4 linked regions of the Rattus norvegicus genome follow. The protein of the gene in region 1 interacts with the protein of each later gene in a pairwise test. Links are inferred from orthologs where the notes say so. Each region holds a gene or a part of one and is shown on either strand. Other genes may lie near its edges. The genes, in order: Nup58, Mis18a, Htt and Pknox1.

The links.
Region 2: the proteins of Nup58 (region 1) and Mis18a interact in binary tests that used the Homo sapiens proteins (3 or more experiments, as listed by UniProt). The link is inferred for Rattus norvegicus from reciprocal best matches to the Homo sapiens genes NUP58 and MIS18A.
Region 3: the proteins of Nup58 (region 1) and Htt interact in binary tests that used the Homo sapiens proteins (3 or more experiments, as listed by UniProt). The link is inferred for Rattus norvegicus from reciprocal best matches to the Homo sapiens genes NUP58 and HTT.
Region 4: the proteins of Nup58 (region 1) and Pknox1 interact in binary tests that used the Homo sapiens proteins (3 or more experiments, as listed by UniProt). The link is inferred for Rattus norvegicus from reciprocal best matches to the Homo sapiens genes NUP58 and PKNOX1.

Annotation. Positions count from the first base shown.
Region 1 is NC_086033.1:38,576,642-38,580,207, reverse strand, and holds part of Nup58 (nucleoporin p58/p45), read left to right. Parts: intron 1-357; coding exon 358-500; intron 501-2,689; coding exon 2,690-2,839; intron 2,840-3,566. UniProt on the Homo sapiens protein: Component of the nuclear pore complex, a complex required for the trafficking across the nuclear membrane.
Region 2 is NC_086029.1:43,464,338-43,468,486, reverse strand, and holds the start of Mis18a (protein Mis18-alpha), read left to right. Parts: upstream 1-1,329; 5' UTR 1,330-1,352; coding exon 1,353-1,659; intron 1,660-4,149. UniProt on the Homo sapiens protein: Required for recruitment of CENPA to centromeres and normal chromosome segregation during mitosis.
Region 3 is NC_086032.1:80,073,255-80,076,676, reverse strand, and holds part of Htt (huntingtin), read left to right. Parts: coding exon 1-55; intron 56-927; coding exon 928-1,090; intron 1,091-1,274; coding exon 1,275-1,435; intron 1,436-2,348; coding exon 2,349-2,562; 3' UTR 2,563-3,422.
Region 4 is NC_086038.1:9,684,674-9,688,239, forward strand, and holds part of Pknox1 (homeobox protein PKNOX1), read left to right. Parts: intron 1-1,214; coding exon 1,215-1,342; intron 1,343-3,253; coding exon 3,254-3,425; intron 3,426-3,566. UniProt on the Homo sapiens protein: Activates transcription in the presence of PBX1A and HOXA1.

The sequences.
Region 1 (3,566 bases):
TGCACACAGTGCTCTCAAGCCGCACTTTGCTTTTTAAATTTTGAGGGGTGGTCTGGGTAAGGTTCCCAGACTGTCCTTGAGTGTGCTGTGTAGCCCACACAGGCCGAGAAGGTGGGATTGCTTTGTCTCCCAAATAGCTCACAGGTTCAGTATTGTATTATTTAAGATAAACTTTACATTTGGTTTTGTTCTTAACGAGAAAAGGACGGTGTTTGAATTTGTTAGGCGTATTTCTTTTAATGTCTTTTGCATCATAGATTTTATGAGAGAAAACAATTTTAAGCAGTTAATTTTTTATTTTTCCAAAGTATATATTAGCCATAGCAGACTTTGTTTTGTTTTGTTTCAATAAACAAGCACACCTTCTGTGGGGCTCAACTTCGGAACTCTCGGAAGCTCTGCGACACCAGCATCTACATCTACTTCTGCCAGTGGTTTTGGAACAGGACTCTTTGGATCTAAGCCTGGCACTGGATTCACTCTAGGAGGAACAAGTGCAGGTAAGGAGGATGGTCTTGTCCTCAGGGTAAATGAGATATTTCTTTCCCGGTTTCCGTCCTCTGTCTTTATTTAAGAACCATCACTGGAATTGGATGTTTGTGTGGGAGAGGGAGCAGCTCCAGAGAAGCATCAGAAAGTCGTAAGCATGAATCAAGATGATTTTTGTAAATTATATATAATATAGTATTTTTTTCTTTAGTAAAGATGCTTAAGGCAGTTTACCAATTTGTTTTACATTTTGATATTAAAATAGAAAAAAGTGTAGTTCTTGAAAGTCTCTGAGTGGTAGATAGTACCTTCCAGCTTTAGTACTGTGTGCTTCAAGTCTTTCCTTATTCACCTTTTATTCTCTAGGGAAAACGCTTGTATTTGTTGCTATAATACATATATCAGTCTTATTATAAGTATCATTCTCTGAAGGTGGAATCTAGAAGGAAACCATCTTTATTTTTTTTTATTTATTTATTTTTTGGAGCTGAGGACCGAACCCAGGGCCTTGCGCTTGCTAGGCAAGCGCTCTACCACTGAGCTAAATCCCCAACCCCGGAAACCATCTTTATTGATCATTCAGTTTGTCTTTTTGTGTCTGGGAATAGCAGCTACAACCATACAATTAATTCTGGGTAAGAAGTTTTGAGAAGAGCAAACTCTGCCTTTCTAATGACTTGTGGGTTTTCTCCTCTTGAACTATTTCAGAGTAGGAAAAAGAAGAATAATTGTAAAGAACTTGTATGGAGCCCATATAATTGTTTTTCAAAAACCTTTCAGTGTTTGGTTATATAAAACCTGAATGCTTCAATGTTATGCCTGTGTAAGTTATAGATGTATTTTAAACATAGGTAGTTTTGGATGTGGATCCAAAAGTTTCACTAGTTGCCTTAAGAGAAAAAATCAGCAGCAAGGATTAAACCTCACAAACACGAAGGCAAGTGCTCTTCCGCTGAGAGGTATGCTCCCCACCCCATGATTCTGTGATGTTATAGATAACTAAAAGTTTCGCTTCAAGGTATGACAGGGCTGTTAACATCTTACAGAGACAACCAGGGCTTGATTTAAGACTGTCACACAGTCTCTTTTCCACTAAAGCATCACATACCTAAAATGCAATGAACATAAATCCACATCTAAAACCACCTATGTGGTCTCACAATGTTTTTGAGGATGCTAGTAATCTAGCAATATTTTTGAAATAAAATTAATAATAAGATTTTGAACTAAAGCAATGCAAAGGAAGGAAAAAGTATCAGGGATTCTGCCTTGAGTGATTGACTTGGCTGAAGTGAGTGTGTGCAGGCTTTTGTGTTGTGGTCAGATACATGACTCAAAGGGACATCAAGGTCTACCAGCCAGTGGGATTCAGGTAGGCAGAGATTTAGGCTCACAGTGGGTGTGGTGGTGCACGCCTGCTCTTTCAGTGCTAGGGAGGCTAACACAGTAGGAGTGCTCTGCCTACTTAGCAAGACACTGCCTCAGTAAACCAAAGAAGCTGGTGGCAGCTAGGGTTAGATTCCTGTACCTGTTGATGAAACTGGAGCCATCAGTGGTGGAAGCAGCAAGAGAACTCTGGGAGCAGTGCAGGAAGGAGATGCACAGGCAAGGCCTGGAAAGGAGGAGTGGGGAGAGAACGTGGTGCTGATAGGGATGGAGTCCAGGAGAGGGGGTTTCCAGGAGTACAGTCTGGGTGGGACAGGAGGGGCTGTTTTTCTGTTGACAGCAAAGGGAGTACAGGGAATAAGTGCTATTGTAGCCATTGTAGGCAAGCTAGGGAAGGAACTGAAATTGATTACAGTTTTAGAGTGGTTGTTTTTACATTTCTTTTTCTTTGTGGTTCCCCCCACTTTCTGAAACAGGGTCTCACTGTGTCACCCTGTCTGTCCTGGAACTTAGTATATACATATCAATATACCAAATTGATTTAGAATTCACAGAAATTGCCTGACTCTGCTTCCTGAGTGTTGGGATCAAAGGCTTGAGCCACCACACCCATCTTGCATTTCTTTCTTAACCCAAAGTTTTTGTATTCACCATGATTTAGTCCCAACTGGTGTATCTCTATCCTATTTCTTATGGTAGAGAAAAGGATCACAGACATAAAATACTGTCTAAAGTCAACATATCATTTATATGATTAAGATAAAAATGAGATTTTGTTTGTTTGTTTGTTTGTTTGTTTGTTTGTTTGAAACAGGAACAACAGCTACTACATCTGCATCTACAACAGGCTTTAGTTTAGGATTCAGTAAACCTGCAGCATCTGCCACACCATTTGCCCTGCCCGTCACTTCTACCACAGCTAGTGGTCTTACTCTCTCGTCTGCTCTGACATCAGCTCCAGCAGGTGAGACAGAATGGGAAAAAAACTGAATTTGTTGGTTATATTAAATTTTTTTTTCAGTTAGAAAATAGCAGTAGCCATTTAAATTAAACATCTCTGGACTGGGGAGATGGTTAAGTGAGTAAATTGTTTTACTGTACAAGCATAAAAAATTTTTAAAGGACAACTATACCTTGGGACATTTATTTGAATAGTTAATTGATTTTGTCCTATTGAATTCTTGACTTTTTAGAGTCAGGCTTAGTGGTCCACACCTATGATTTGCGAGGGAGAACAGGAGAATCTTGAGTTCAAGGCAAGGCTTGTCTATGTGACAAGACTATCTGGAAAAAATAAGTTAGCATTGGCTATTAAAGCTGTTATGACTTGAAATGTGGTCTCTACTAAGAGTAACATGTCAGAGGAGTTGGGGATTTAGCTCAGTGGTAGAGCGCTTGGCGCAAGGCCCTGGGTTCGGTCCCCAGCTCCGGAAAAAAGAAAAAAAAAAAAAAAAAGAATAACAAGTCAGAGGAGTGAAGTGTAGAGATGTTTTTATCTTGTTTTTAAGAGACTGTTGATGGCAGAAAGTGTAAAGACATTTATAAACTTACCTAGTTCATGATTCATTTACTTTTAAAGGTAGAATTGTTGGCTGGGATTAAAAATTATACTGTTGTTTAGAATTAGTTGCTGGGTACCATTGCAATAGTTCCCAAGGGAGGAGGGGATTTTGTTGGATGAGGGGGAAATG
Region 2 (4,149 bases), on another chromosome or scaffold:
CTCTGAGGATAAAGGACTTCTGTACAGGGATATACCACTACAGAATTTTAAGCATTGACCATAGAATCCCAAAGTCTGAGCCAAACAACTGCCCACTGAATTCCAAAGATATTATGCAACGTGCACAACTCACATAGGCTGCATTGTGCATGGGACACAGGCAGCACCTTCAAAAGCAGTAGAGAGAAAACAACTCTATGGGTAGACAAATCCTAAATTATTTGATGCATTTTCTCCTACTTGGAAGCTAATTAATGCCGTTATGGTATCCTCACACACATCCCATTGCTCAGTTAATAGTCCAGGAGGTTACTGACCATTTAATCCTGTGAAGAATCAAGACTCAAGGCTGGCTTGTAATCCTAGCACGTGGGAGGCTGATGCAGGAGGATCGCCGTGGGTGGACAGCTTGGACAAAAATGAATCAAAAGAAACAAAAAGTTAAAAATCACACTTAGAGAAGGCAAAGTCGCCTTTCCAGTTTCCGGCCCTTTACTACCTTGGTCAGTCAACTCGAAGGTTTAGGATTCGAAACTTTTTACTAGGGGCCTGAGATACGAAAACAGGTGGTTGCGTATGCTGAAGTTTAACGAAGCGAACTGCGAAGTGTGACTTGGAGGAAAATACGGTGGTCTTTGCGTGTTGTTTCTTACTTCTGCATCCAGGCTGTCCCTGGTGGCGTCCCTCGGCTCTCCGCCAGCCTTCCCTTTAGCCTGTGGTCTTCTGAAGTCACAGGTTGACTTTCTGATGACTGACCGTCCTTCCCGCCCCTACTGTACTCTGACCCAGACAGAGTGAGTGACACTCGCCCACTTTGTAACCACAGTAATGCTGTCCCCTCCAGCTTCTCGTACTTTTCCCTTGCAGTGCAAGCCTGCGTAATGCTGGGTCTTTGAGGCAGGGGGTGTCTTTGGCTCGCCATCGATCCCTGATTTTTCTGGATCTAGGAAAGTGGGTCTCCGGGAGCAGACAGACTAGAATCAGGGATGTGGCTAGCAATACACCACTTGGAATTCCATGGAGGTGGGCCTGCTTACCAGATCTGCTTACCTAGCACCGGCATGTCCATTAATAATGTGGAAGGACTAGGTGAGCGGTTGCTTGTTTAATTCGAAGCCCTTAACTTTCTCAACGGCGGCGGAAGGACCTCCAACAAGCTAATTCACCTGCCTTTGCTTAGGAAGACGCCAGGACGCAGGCGCAATGAGCTAGGCTCGCTCCAGCCAGATAGTGAGCATGCGCCTTAGGCCCTACTTCGGGCCTCACCCTCCTCGGCGGTGCCCGCCTCTTGCTCCTTGCGCATGCGCAGCTGTGCTATTTCCCGTGAGGCTCCGGGGCGCGGCAAATTCGTCATGGCTGGTACATTTTCTCTGGAACCCTGCTCTACCTCTAGTTCGTGTAACCACCAGGGCAAGCGGAGCGAGTCTTCGCTGCTGGAGAAGCGGCTGTCGGAAGATTCGAGCCGCCATTGGCGGCTGCAGAAGTGGGCGAGCATGTCGAGCGCAGACGCGTCGAGGACACTGCTGGAGAGGCGTGAGGAGAAGGCTGCCGCGGCGGAGAACCCGCTGGTGTTCCTGTGTACGCGCTGTCGCCGGCCGCTGGGCGACTCGCTCACCTGGGTGGCTAGCCAGGAGGACACCAACTGCATCCTGTTGCGCAGTCAGTTTGGGCCGGGGCCGTGGGACCGCCTTCCCGCGTGAGGGTGCTGCGGGAGGGGTGGGGTGGGGGTGAGCTGTCCCAGCAAACCGTGGCGAGGGCATTCCTGTGGGTGGCTCACGAGTAACAGGGCTTTTTCTGGGGTCTTCCATCCCTAGAAGGGGAGCGGTTGAGCATCATCCTGAACGTTATTCAGAAAGAAATATCCAAGCGTTTTTAGCAAGGTGCTTCCTTCAGGGGAGTGTTTTCACATCTAACGGATTCTGTCAGCTGCTTTGGGTACTTTGTAGGCCGCCGCTGCTGGACTTAGTTTAGTGCCCTTGGGCAATCTGTTCAAAGGCTTTTGCCTCAGTCTCCAAATTGAGGGCTAATACATGGGATAACGGGGACGATAAGTGTATGTATGGTATATGGCCACAGGATTAGGCGATTTCTTTACTGGATGAGCTTCTTGATAGAGTTTAGTTTGACTCAAGCATTGCCACCATTAATTAGGGTAGCCTAAAATTGGGTTGAGATTTTTGACATAGTAGTTTTTTAATGGCTTTAAAAGAAATAACGTGTCTTTAATTTTTAATCCCCCGTTTTTGTAGCTTTTCTATCTTGCTTTCTGTGTGTATTAATACTGTTGTTAGGTTTTAAAAATTTAACCTGTGTGGATTAGATAATTCTATTTATCCTCATGTTAGTACTTTTTACTGAGTCTTTTAAACAGTAGGAGCAAAAAGATAATTCCATTCACTGGAATTATCCCTTTGCACCTATTAAACAATGCAGAAGGGTGTAAAAGCTTTTTTTTTTTTTTTTTTTTTGGTTCTTTTTTTCGGAGCTGGGGACCGAACCCAGGGCCTTGCGCTTCCTAGGCAAGCGCTCTACCACTGAGCTAAATCCCCAACCCCGTAAAAGCTTTTTAAAAAAATGACCTTCCAGATTAATTTCTTTTCCCTCTTGCCCCAGTTGGAGTGTTTTATTTACCTTCGTTCACATTTATGACATTTACAATTTTTAATTAATTTTTTTCTGTTTTATAATGGGGCTCTTACTGTTTCCAAGGATGACTTTGAACTAATGATCTAACCTCAGCTTTCTAAGTAGTGCGGATTACAGATGTGCACCCCTATATCTCACTCAACACTTAACACTTTATTTATAGCCACAACATGGTGATTTAGCTTTACTTATTTTAAGATTTATTTATTAAGTATTTATTATTATATATCCAGTATTCTGCCTGCATGTGTGCCTGCACACCAGATCTTGTTACAGATGATTATGAGCCATGCTGTGGTTGCTGGGAATTAAACTCAGGACTTCTGAAAGAGCAGCCAGTGCTCTTAACCTCTGAGCCATCTCTCCAGCCTTTATAATGTTCTATAAATTAATTTCCGAACCCCACTAGTTTTGTTAACATATTAAAAAAATTAGGGGTTAGAGAGATGACTTAGTGGTAAAGAGCCCTTGCAAAGGGCCAGGGTTCAGTTCCCAGCCCTGCATGGTGGTTTACAACCGTAGGTTACTGCAATACAGGGCGTCTGCTGCCACAGGCACCACCCCGTGCACTTGGTGCACACATGCATACAGACAAAACACTCAGAAATGAATAAAATTTTACAGTTTATAATTTCCCATTCTTGAGTTGTTTAATTATCACAAGTGTCCCCAAGGAAATGTCAAGTTTGGGTGCTGGAAAATGTCTTTTTGTTACCTTTATATGCAAATGCTGAGTGTCCCCCACCCCGGTGGGGGGATGTTCAGGTAGTAAAAAGGGTTCCAGGTCAATGTGGCCAAAGTGTGGATAAAGACAAACCTTAGAAAGGGACCAGGGAATGAAGGGACTTTAGGCTATGGTGAAACAATGGGGGTCTACTGCTGAGCGAGGAGTGACAGGATTCAGCTCTTCTGGAACAAGCACAGAGGAAGACTAGCACCACTGTAGCTGTGTCACCACAGCAACTCTCCAGGGCTTGCTCTCACCATACCCAGAGCCGAAAGAACCAAACTCATAGGATACATCCCAGCTTCTCCTTTGAGAAACCACATTTTTATGGGCATGGGGCTTGCTTAGCTAAGGCACCGCGGAAGACGGTGAAGTCAGGAGTTTGCCCTGGCTGTCCCACTCTCTGACAGTGCTTCTTCATTTCCCTCTGGAATGTTTGGTACCGTGTTCCTGGTCCAGCTGCGATGTGTCCAAACACAGGATGTCAGACTGGGACCCTTTACTTGTAGAGAAAGGAGCTCTGTTGGAATCTGGAGGCGCATTGGTGACCTCCCTCGTCCGACTTGCTCTTGGGCCCACTTGCACTCTCTCTGGCAACTTTTGGTTGTAGTTTACAGTTTGTGATACTCACAGGCCAAGCCCTACCACTGCTCTTCCCTGGGTAACATTGTTCATTTATTAATCCCACTGGTTTTCAGAGAAGGACGTGAAATAACTCTTGTCCCACCTCTTCTCCCTGAAGGCCCCTGTCCCGTTAGTGTTGGACCACATGCACC
Region 3 (3,422 bases), on another chromosome or scaffold:
CTGACAGCGAGTCTGTGATTGTAGCTATGGAGCGAGTGTCTGTGCTCTTTGACAGGTAAGAAATGCAGCAACACCTGACCTTTATCCTCAGTAGTCATTGACTGCCCTGGAGCCACAGCCAGAGCAGTTCCTTCCACGTGTATTTGTTCATTCTCTTGAACTTTAAATTGCATCTTTGCAGCCGTTTTCCCAATGCATGCATATTCAGAGTACCACCTGCAAGCCAGACTCAGGGACAACTGGACCCATGCAGGGGTACAACCAAGCCACTGCCCTGGGGGATCCCACAGGCAGGGATGAGGAAATAGATACTCCCGGAGTGTAGCCAAGTGCTATGGTGGGGCTCAGCCCATATCCACTGGAAGGAGACACGGTTGAGTGTCAGAGTCACTTGTGTACTTCTTGGCCGTATACCACGGTGGTGTGGCATTAGTCACAGGTCAGCTGTCTTTAAGGATGCTGCTAAAGGTGGAAGTGTTGGATGTTGAGACAAGAGTCAGTAGGAGCGTCAATGGGAGTCTGTGTTTGAAGGGAAGAAAAGCTCCTGATTGACAATAGCACCCTGGATATTAGGACATGCAACAGTGACGCTTTAGAGCCTTTTGATGTGGAGTCTCTTCTGTAATGTCACTACCTACCTGTTGCTGCTGCTCCCTGACAGGGCCTTCCCACAACTGCATTATTCTCCCCAGAGTGGGAAAGATCACCCTGTGCCCAGATTAGTCAGGGCAGCAAAAGGACAGCCTGGATGTCGTCTTTGGCTTTTAAAACTCATACCCCAGTTGTGATCTGAGCCCCACTTAGAACATCCCTGTGGGTCATGGGTCATGGGTCAGGGGCCTCTGAGCCTTGGTCCATGTTGGCTCTATGGGCAGGGTTGAGAGGCTAAGAACCAGGTGAGGCTCAGATCAGTTCCTCTCATTTCAGGATCCGCAAGGGATTTCCCTGTGAAGCCAGGGTCGTGGCAAGGATCCTGCCTCAGTTTCTAGATGACTTCTTTCCACCTCAAGATGTCATGAACAAAGTCATTGGAGAGTTCCTGTCCAACCAGCAGCCATACCCACAGTTCATGGCCACTGTAGTATACAAGGTGAGAGTGTACTTGCATTGTGGAGCAAGGACAGAGCAGGAGGATGAAGGGGGACTCAGTCCCACACTTATGGTAGGCCTGTCATCACGGCTAGACTCATCCTTTAAGATGGGTGGCAGCTGTGGTCCCAGTCCCCACCCAACCCCACAGCCTGACCCTGTGCTCAGGGCTCTCTCCTCCCCAGGTTTTTCAGACTCTGCACAGTGCTGGGCAGTCATCCATGGTCCGGGACTGGGTTATGCTGTCTCTGTCCAACTTCACACAAAGAACTCCAGTTGCCATGGCCATGTGGAGCCTCTCCTGCTTCCTTGTCAGTGCATCTACCAGCCCATGGGTTTCTGCAATGTATCCTTCCATGGGGCTTTGGCCAGGTTTCAGTCTCCACCAGCCTTTCCTTATTCTCTTAGCATCCAGTTCAGGTTCCACTGAGTGTTTTGAAGCCTAAACTCTAAAGAACCCCACAGGTATCAAGGGGATGCTTACCCTCCCCTAAAACACTGATGGGGACATGAAACAGAAGGTCTAGCCATTTGCCAGCCAGGGCTGCCAACGGGTGGGTTTGTGGCAGGAGTACTACTGCTGAGGGAGAAGAGAGGAGCCCAAAGGGAGGCAGGGCAGCTCAGGCCGCTGCTGGCCCTGCGGCTGCCCCAGCGTCTGGCATGCTTTATCCCTCTGAGGTTTTCTCAATGCTGCTTTTCATTAGCTCTCATCTTTACACTGCGGTCACCCTCCTGGGGAAAGCCGTAAGTAAAGCTGCAGTTCCCGCCCTAACAGTGATGCCAGGAGTTCCTCTTTTGGCAGCCTTCTCCACAGTAGAACAGGAGTTACTGAGCAGCAAAGTTGTCTTGGTGGTGACAGTACAGCCTCACCCTAAGTACTGGGAAAGCCTTGCAGGCAGGGTGCTAGCTCTGCCCTCCCTGCACTGGAGCAGTGTGAGCGGAACACCAGCCACTAACACTGTGTGGGGAGCACAGCCCAGGTAAGTGCTGTTGCGCAGAGCACTGGGAACCAGCACCCTGTCTGCACTGCAGGGCTCCCACTTCCTGGGCCTCTGGGCCCCTGGGCCTACCCATCCCTACTCTCCTGGGCAGACAGCAAGCTGTAGCTGGCAGAGGATTACAAGCAGGTGCTGTGCTAATGTGGTCTAGGCTGCCCTCTATTTTGGTTGCCCAGTCTTCCTGGTGGACTTAGGGAGGGAACCGCTTGGGGAGGCTGTCTTCCCACCCTTGCCATCATTCCCCCTTAACTGTTCTACCAGCCTTCCACACGTCATCAGCAGGATGGGCAAACTGGAGCAGGTGGATGTGAACCTTTTCTGCCTGGTTGCCACAGACTTCTACAGACACCAGATAGAGGAGGAATTCGACCGCAGGGCTTTCCAGTCTGTGTTTGAGGTGGTGGCAGCACCAGGAAGTCCATACCACAGGCTGCTTGCTTGTTTGCAAAATGTTCACAAGGTCACCGCCTGCTGAGTAGTACCTGTGGAACAAGAGGCTGAGAGGAGGCAACTGCTGTGGCTACAGCCTCCAGGGGCCTGCACCAAGCTTCTGCTAAGGCTGCCTTGGACGTGCAGGCTTCCACTTGTGTCAAGTGGACAGCCAGGCAATGGCAGGAGTGCTTTGCAATGAGAGCTATGCAGGGAACATGCACTATGTTGGGGTTGAGCCTGAGTCCTGGGTCCTGGCATCACTGCAGCTGGTGGCAGTGCTAGGTTGACCAGGTGTTTGTCTTTTTCTTAGTGTTGCCCTGGCCATAGTTGCCAGGTTGCAGCTGCCCTGGTATGTGGAACAGAATCCGAGCTCTTGTAAGATGGTTCTGAGCCCCCCTGTCCCACTGGGCTGGAGAGCTCCCTCCCACATTTACCCAGCAGGTGTACCTGCCACACCAGTGTCTGGACACAAAGTGAATGGTGTGGGGGCTGGGAACTGGGACTGCCAGGTGTCCAGCATCATTTTCCCTTTCTCTGTTTTCTTCTCAGGAGTTAAAATTTAATTATATCAGTAAAGAGATTAATTTTAATGTAACTCTTCCTATGCCCGTGTAAAGTGTGTGACTTGGCAAGGCCTGTGCTGCATGTGACAAAGTTTATGGAAGTGGATGCGCCTTCTGGCCACCACTCTCTCTCCTGTAGCTACTCAGTCTAGTCGGGCAGGTCCCTCATGTAGCCCTCCCAACACCCTATGGCACTTGCACTTCACACGGCTCCTTTTTCTTATGCATTCCATTTGACTAGCACAGAGTGGTGTTGGTGTTAACTGCCCTATGTGAGAATCCTGCTTGTGGCCCAGCTTATGAGACTGACTTCCACTTAGGATTAAGAGAGGCTTGCCCT
Region 4 (3,566 bases), on another chromosome or scaffold:
TATTCATTTAATTTTCTGAGATTCTGAGATGGCATCTCACTGCATAGCCCTGGCTTGCCTGGAGTTCACTGTGTAGACCAGAGTGGCCTTACCCCCCCCCCCCCCCCCCCAGTGCTGGGATTAAAGGTTGGCCACCTTGCCTGGCTCCTGGCTTTGTTATTATGTGTGAGCCTGTGTGAGTGAGCTTATGTGTTCCATACCTGTGGAGGAGTCCTCAGAGGCCAGAAGAAGGTACTGGGTCCCCTAGAACTGGAGTTCACAGGTGCTTGGAGTTCTGTGGGTGCCAGGAACCAAAACCAGGTTCTCTGGAAGAATAGCTAGAGAGCGCTCTTAATTCTCTAGCCCCAGGTTGCCTTGTTTTTTGAAAGGAAAAACAAAAAAGAATTCTCCAAGTAATTCTAAAGATGGCGACAGAATGGATGTCCTTCTGGGCTGCCGGAAAGCATTGGGGGCAGCGTTGGGGGTGGGGCCCCTGGCTAGTGTGGAGACAGGGTGGCCTCTTCCTAAGATAAGTCTATCTGAGAGGCAGAGACATAGCTTGTGTAACACAGAGAACATGTTACAACCCTAGTAAACACACCTGGTCTCTTCACTGTCTGGATAAGCTGCCCTTTGTTTAAAGCTGTGTGTCGCGGCTCACTGGTTAGGAGCTCATCCCGTTCTTGCAGAGGGCTGGAGTTCGCTTCCTACAACCACGTGGTATGGTTTACGACCATCTATAACACCACTTGTGCGTGCACACAGACATACACACACTGTCTTATGCAAAACCGTGTATACGAGAGTGTGTGCTGGGGTCAGATTAGGAAGGAAGTTGCACACGAGCTACATGCCCAGCCCTTGTTCATATTTGCATAATGGCGCAGGGTTACACGTGGGAGAACCTGAACCCTGTCACAGAACTGTAGTGTTGCGTTTGAGGTTTTTGTGAGTGAATATAAGAAGAGCAGACCTTCTGTTCTCCCTCTCCCCAAGTTACTCATTGGGAGAGTGGCTAGAAGAGTCAGCTTACACTGTGTCCCTGTCAGCCACGCACAGGGCTTGGAAGCCATCACACTTCCTCATACATTTGCCCTTCATACTGTCTGCTCTTGGAGCATACGAGAGTCAAAGGTTTGCCGCTAGTGTTGTTCATGTTATGGGCAGTTATCTGATCTTCTGACAGGATAGCAGCACTGTACATGTCTTCTGTAACAGAACTTCTCCTTTTCCAGATGCAGGTGGTCACTGAGTTGAAAACAGAGCAGGATCCCAACTGCTCTGACCCGGATGCAGAAGGAGTGAGTCCTCCTCCCATCGAGTCTCAGACCCCGATGGATGCCGACAAGCAGGCCATTTATAGGTAGTGACTGGGTGTGGACTAGAGAGAATACAGTGTGAGGTGGAACTCAGGGCTGGGATCTACACTGAGCCCTTTGCGGATTGCGATGGCTCTTATAATAACGCACGAGTAGTAATAGAGACCTAAACTCAGGTAACCTTCCAGGAAGTCTTCAGAACAAGCATGGTGGTGCACACTTAGACTCTCAGCACGGGGATAGACAGTTCAAAGCCAGTTGCAGGCCAGTCTGGACTACCTAACAAAACCCTAAAAGGGAAAGAGGAGGCCTAGAGAATGGGTCAGCAAGGAAAGTCTTACCATGTAAATGAGATGACCTGAGTTTGAGTCCTAGAACCCACAGAGGGTGAGGAAAATGCCATAGATTTGTCCTCTGACCTCTACATGCAGTTCTGGAAACTGTCATTTTGCTCTCTTGACCTTATACCCAGGTATCTCCTGAGTGAGGACTCACTTCAGTTAAGTAATATCTTTTCTTGACTGGCTTCCTTCACATCAAATGGTTTATGTGAGGACTGTAATATAGAGCCTGCTGGGACTTTCTTCCTCTTTGAGGCTGTATCCTGTTTATACACCACGTTTATCCTTCAGCAGATACTGGGCACTTGGGGTTGGGTTGCCTCGTCCTTTTTAAGATGGGATCTCTCTGTAGTCCTAGCCTGCCCTGGAACTCACTATATAGGTAAAGCTGGCCTTGAACTCACAACGATCCACCTGCCTCTACCACCCAAGTGTTCTACACACCCGGCTGTGCGTCCTCCCTTTGACTGTAGTGTCCTGTGAACACAGGTCTGTAGATGCACAGCTAGCTGTACACGGGGTGTTAGAAGCTTCACTCATGATCCTCAGACTAGAAACAGCCTGGATGTTTCTCGACAGTGGTGGGCCCATGGAAAGGAAGGTATATGGCTGCAACACGTGTTCACAGGAACCCCAGCTATCTTAAGCCCTTCTCAGAAGCCTTGCATTTTGTATAATTGCTTTTCCATGACACCAAGAGAAAACTTGACGATGGTGACCTCTGCTGGAACTAGGGCTTCCAGCATGGCACACGGAAGGGAGAACAAGAAAGGCTGGGTGTCCTAGAGCTGCTCTGTGTCCTGTTTACAGTGGTGACTAGACACACTTGTAAGGGTCTAAGAACCGAGAATGGTCCATTTTATTGTTGGATAGTTCACACATACAAATTGAAATCAGGCATGGTAGTCCATGCTATAGCCCAGGCCTCAGAAGGCTGGCCTGAGAGGAGCAGGAATCAAGGCCCGTCTGGACTATGTAATAAGACCCTGTCAAATAGCAAACAAATAACAAGGAAAAGTTAATGAAATGATTAGGAATTTTGAAAAGATATTTTCATATAGTGTAAAGCTAACTCATTAAAAATATTTCATGAGGGGTTGGGGATTTAGCTCAGTGGTAGAGCGCTTGCCTAGGAAGCGCAAGGCCCTGGGTTCGGTCCCCAGCTCCGAAAAAAAGAACCAAAAAAAAAAAAATTTCATGAAACAGTTCTACTCAGAGTAGCCATACTCTGACTACTAAACGAATTAAAAAACAAGTGATGGATGGGTTGAGAGAGATGGCTCAGTGGGGAAGAGCACAGATTGTTCTTCCAGAGGACCTGAGGGATCTGGCGCCCTCTTCTGGCCTCCATGGGCACCAGGTGTGCATGCACATAGCATAAAATTGTAAAAGAATATACAGAAACAAGTAACAGGCTGTTTAAACATCATTCATACAGGCCAGACAATGCACATCTGTAACTTCAGGGACTTGAGGCTGAGGCAGGAGAGCCTCAAGTTAGAAGCCTGACTGAAAAACAGATCCCTGTGACAGTGTGGGCAGAGGCCCATTGGTGCACACATCCCAGAGTGTTCCTGGAGGGATGTGGCACACCCTTGCTCTGTTTCCCCACAGGCACCCGCTATTTCCATTGCTAGCTTTGCTGTTTGAGAAATGTGAGCAGTCCACACAGGGATCAGAAGGCACGACGTCCGCCAGCTTCGATGTGGACATTGAGAACTTTGTCAGGAAGCAAGAAAAGGACGGGAAGCCCTTCTTCTGTGAAGATCCGGAAACAGACAACTTAGTGAGTAAAGTTGGTGTTTTGTTTCTACTTTTTGTGATTTAAATCTGTTCTTGAAGTTTACCTTCCTGGTCTCCTGGTTTCTAGCTAATTTTCCCTTTAACAATCTAACTAATTGTGCCTCCTCGTGAGGTGGGGCTCACC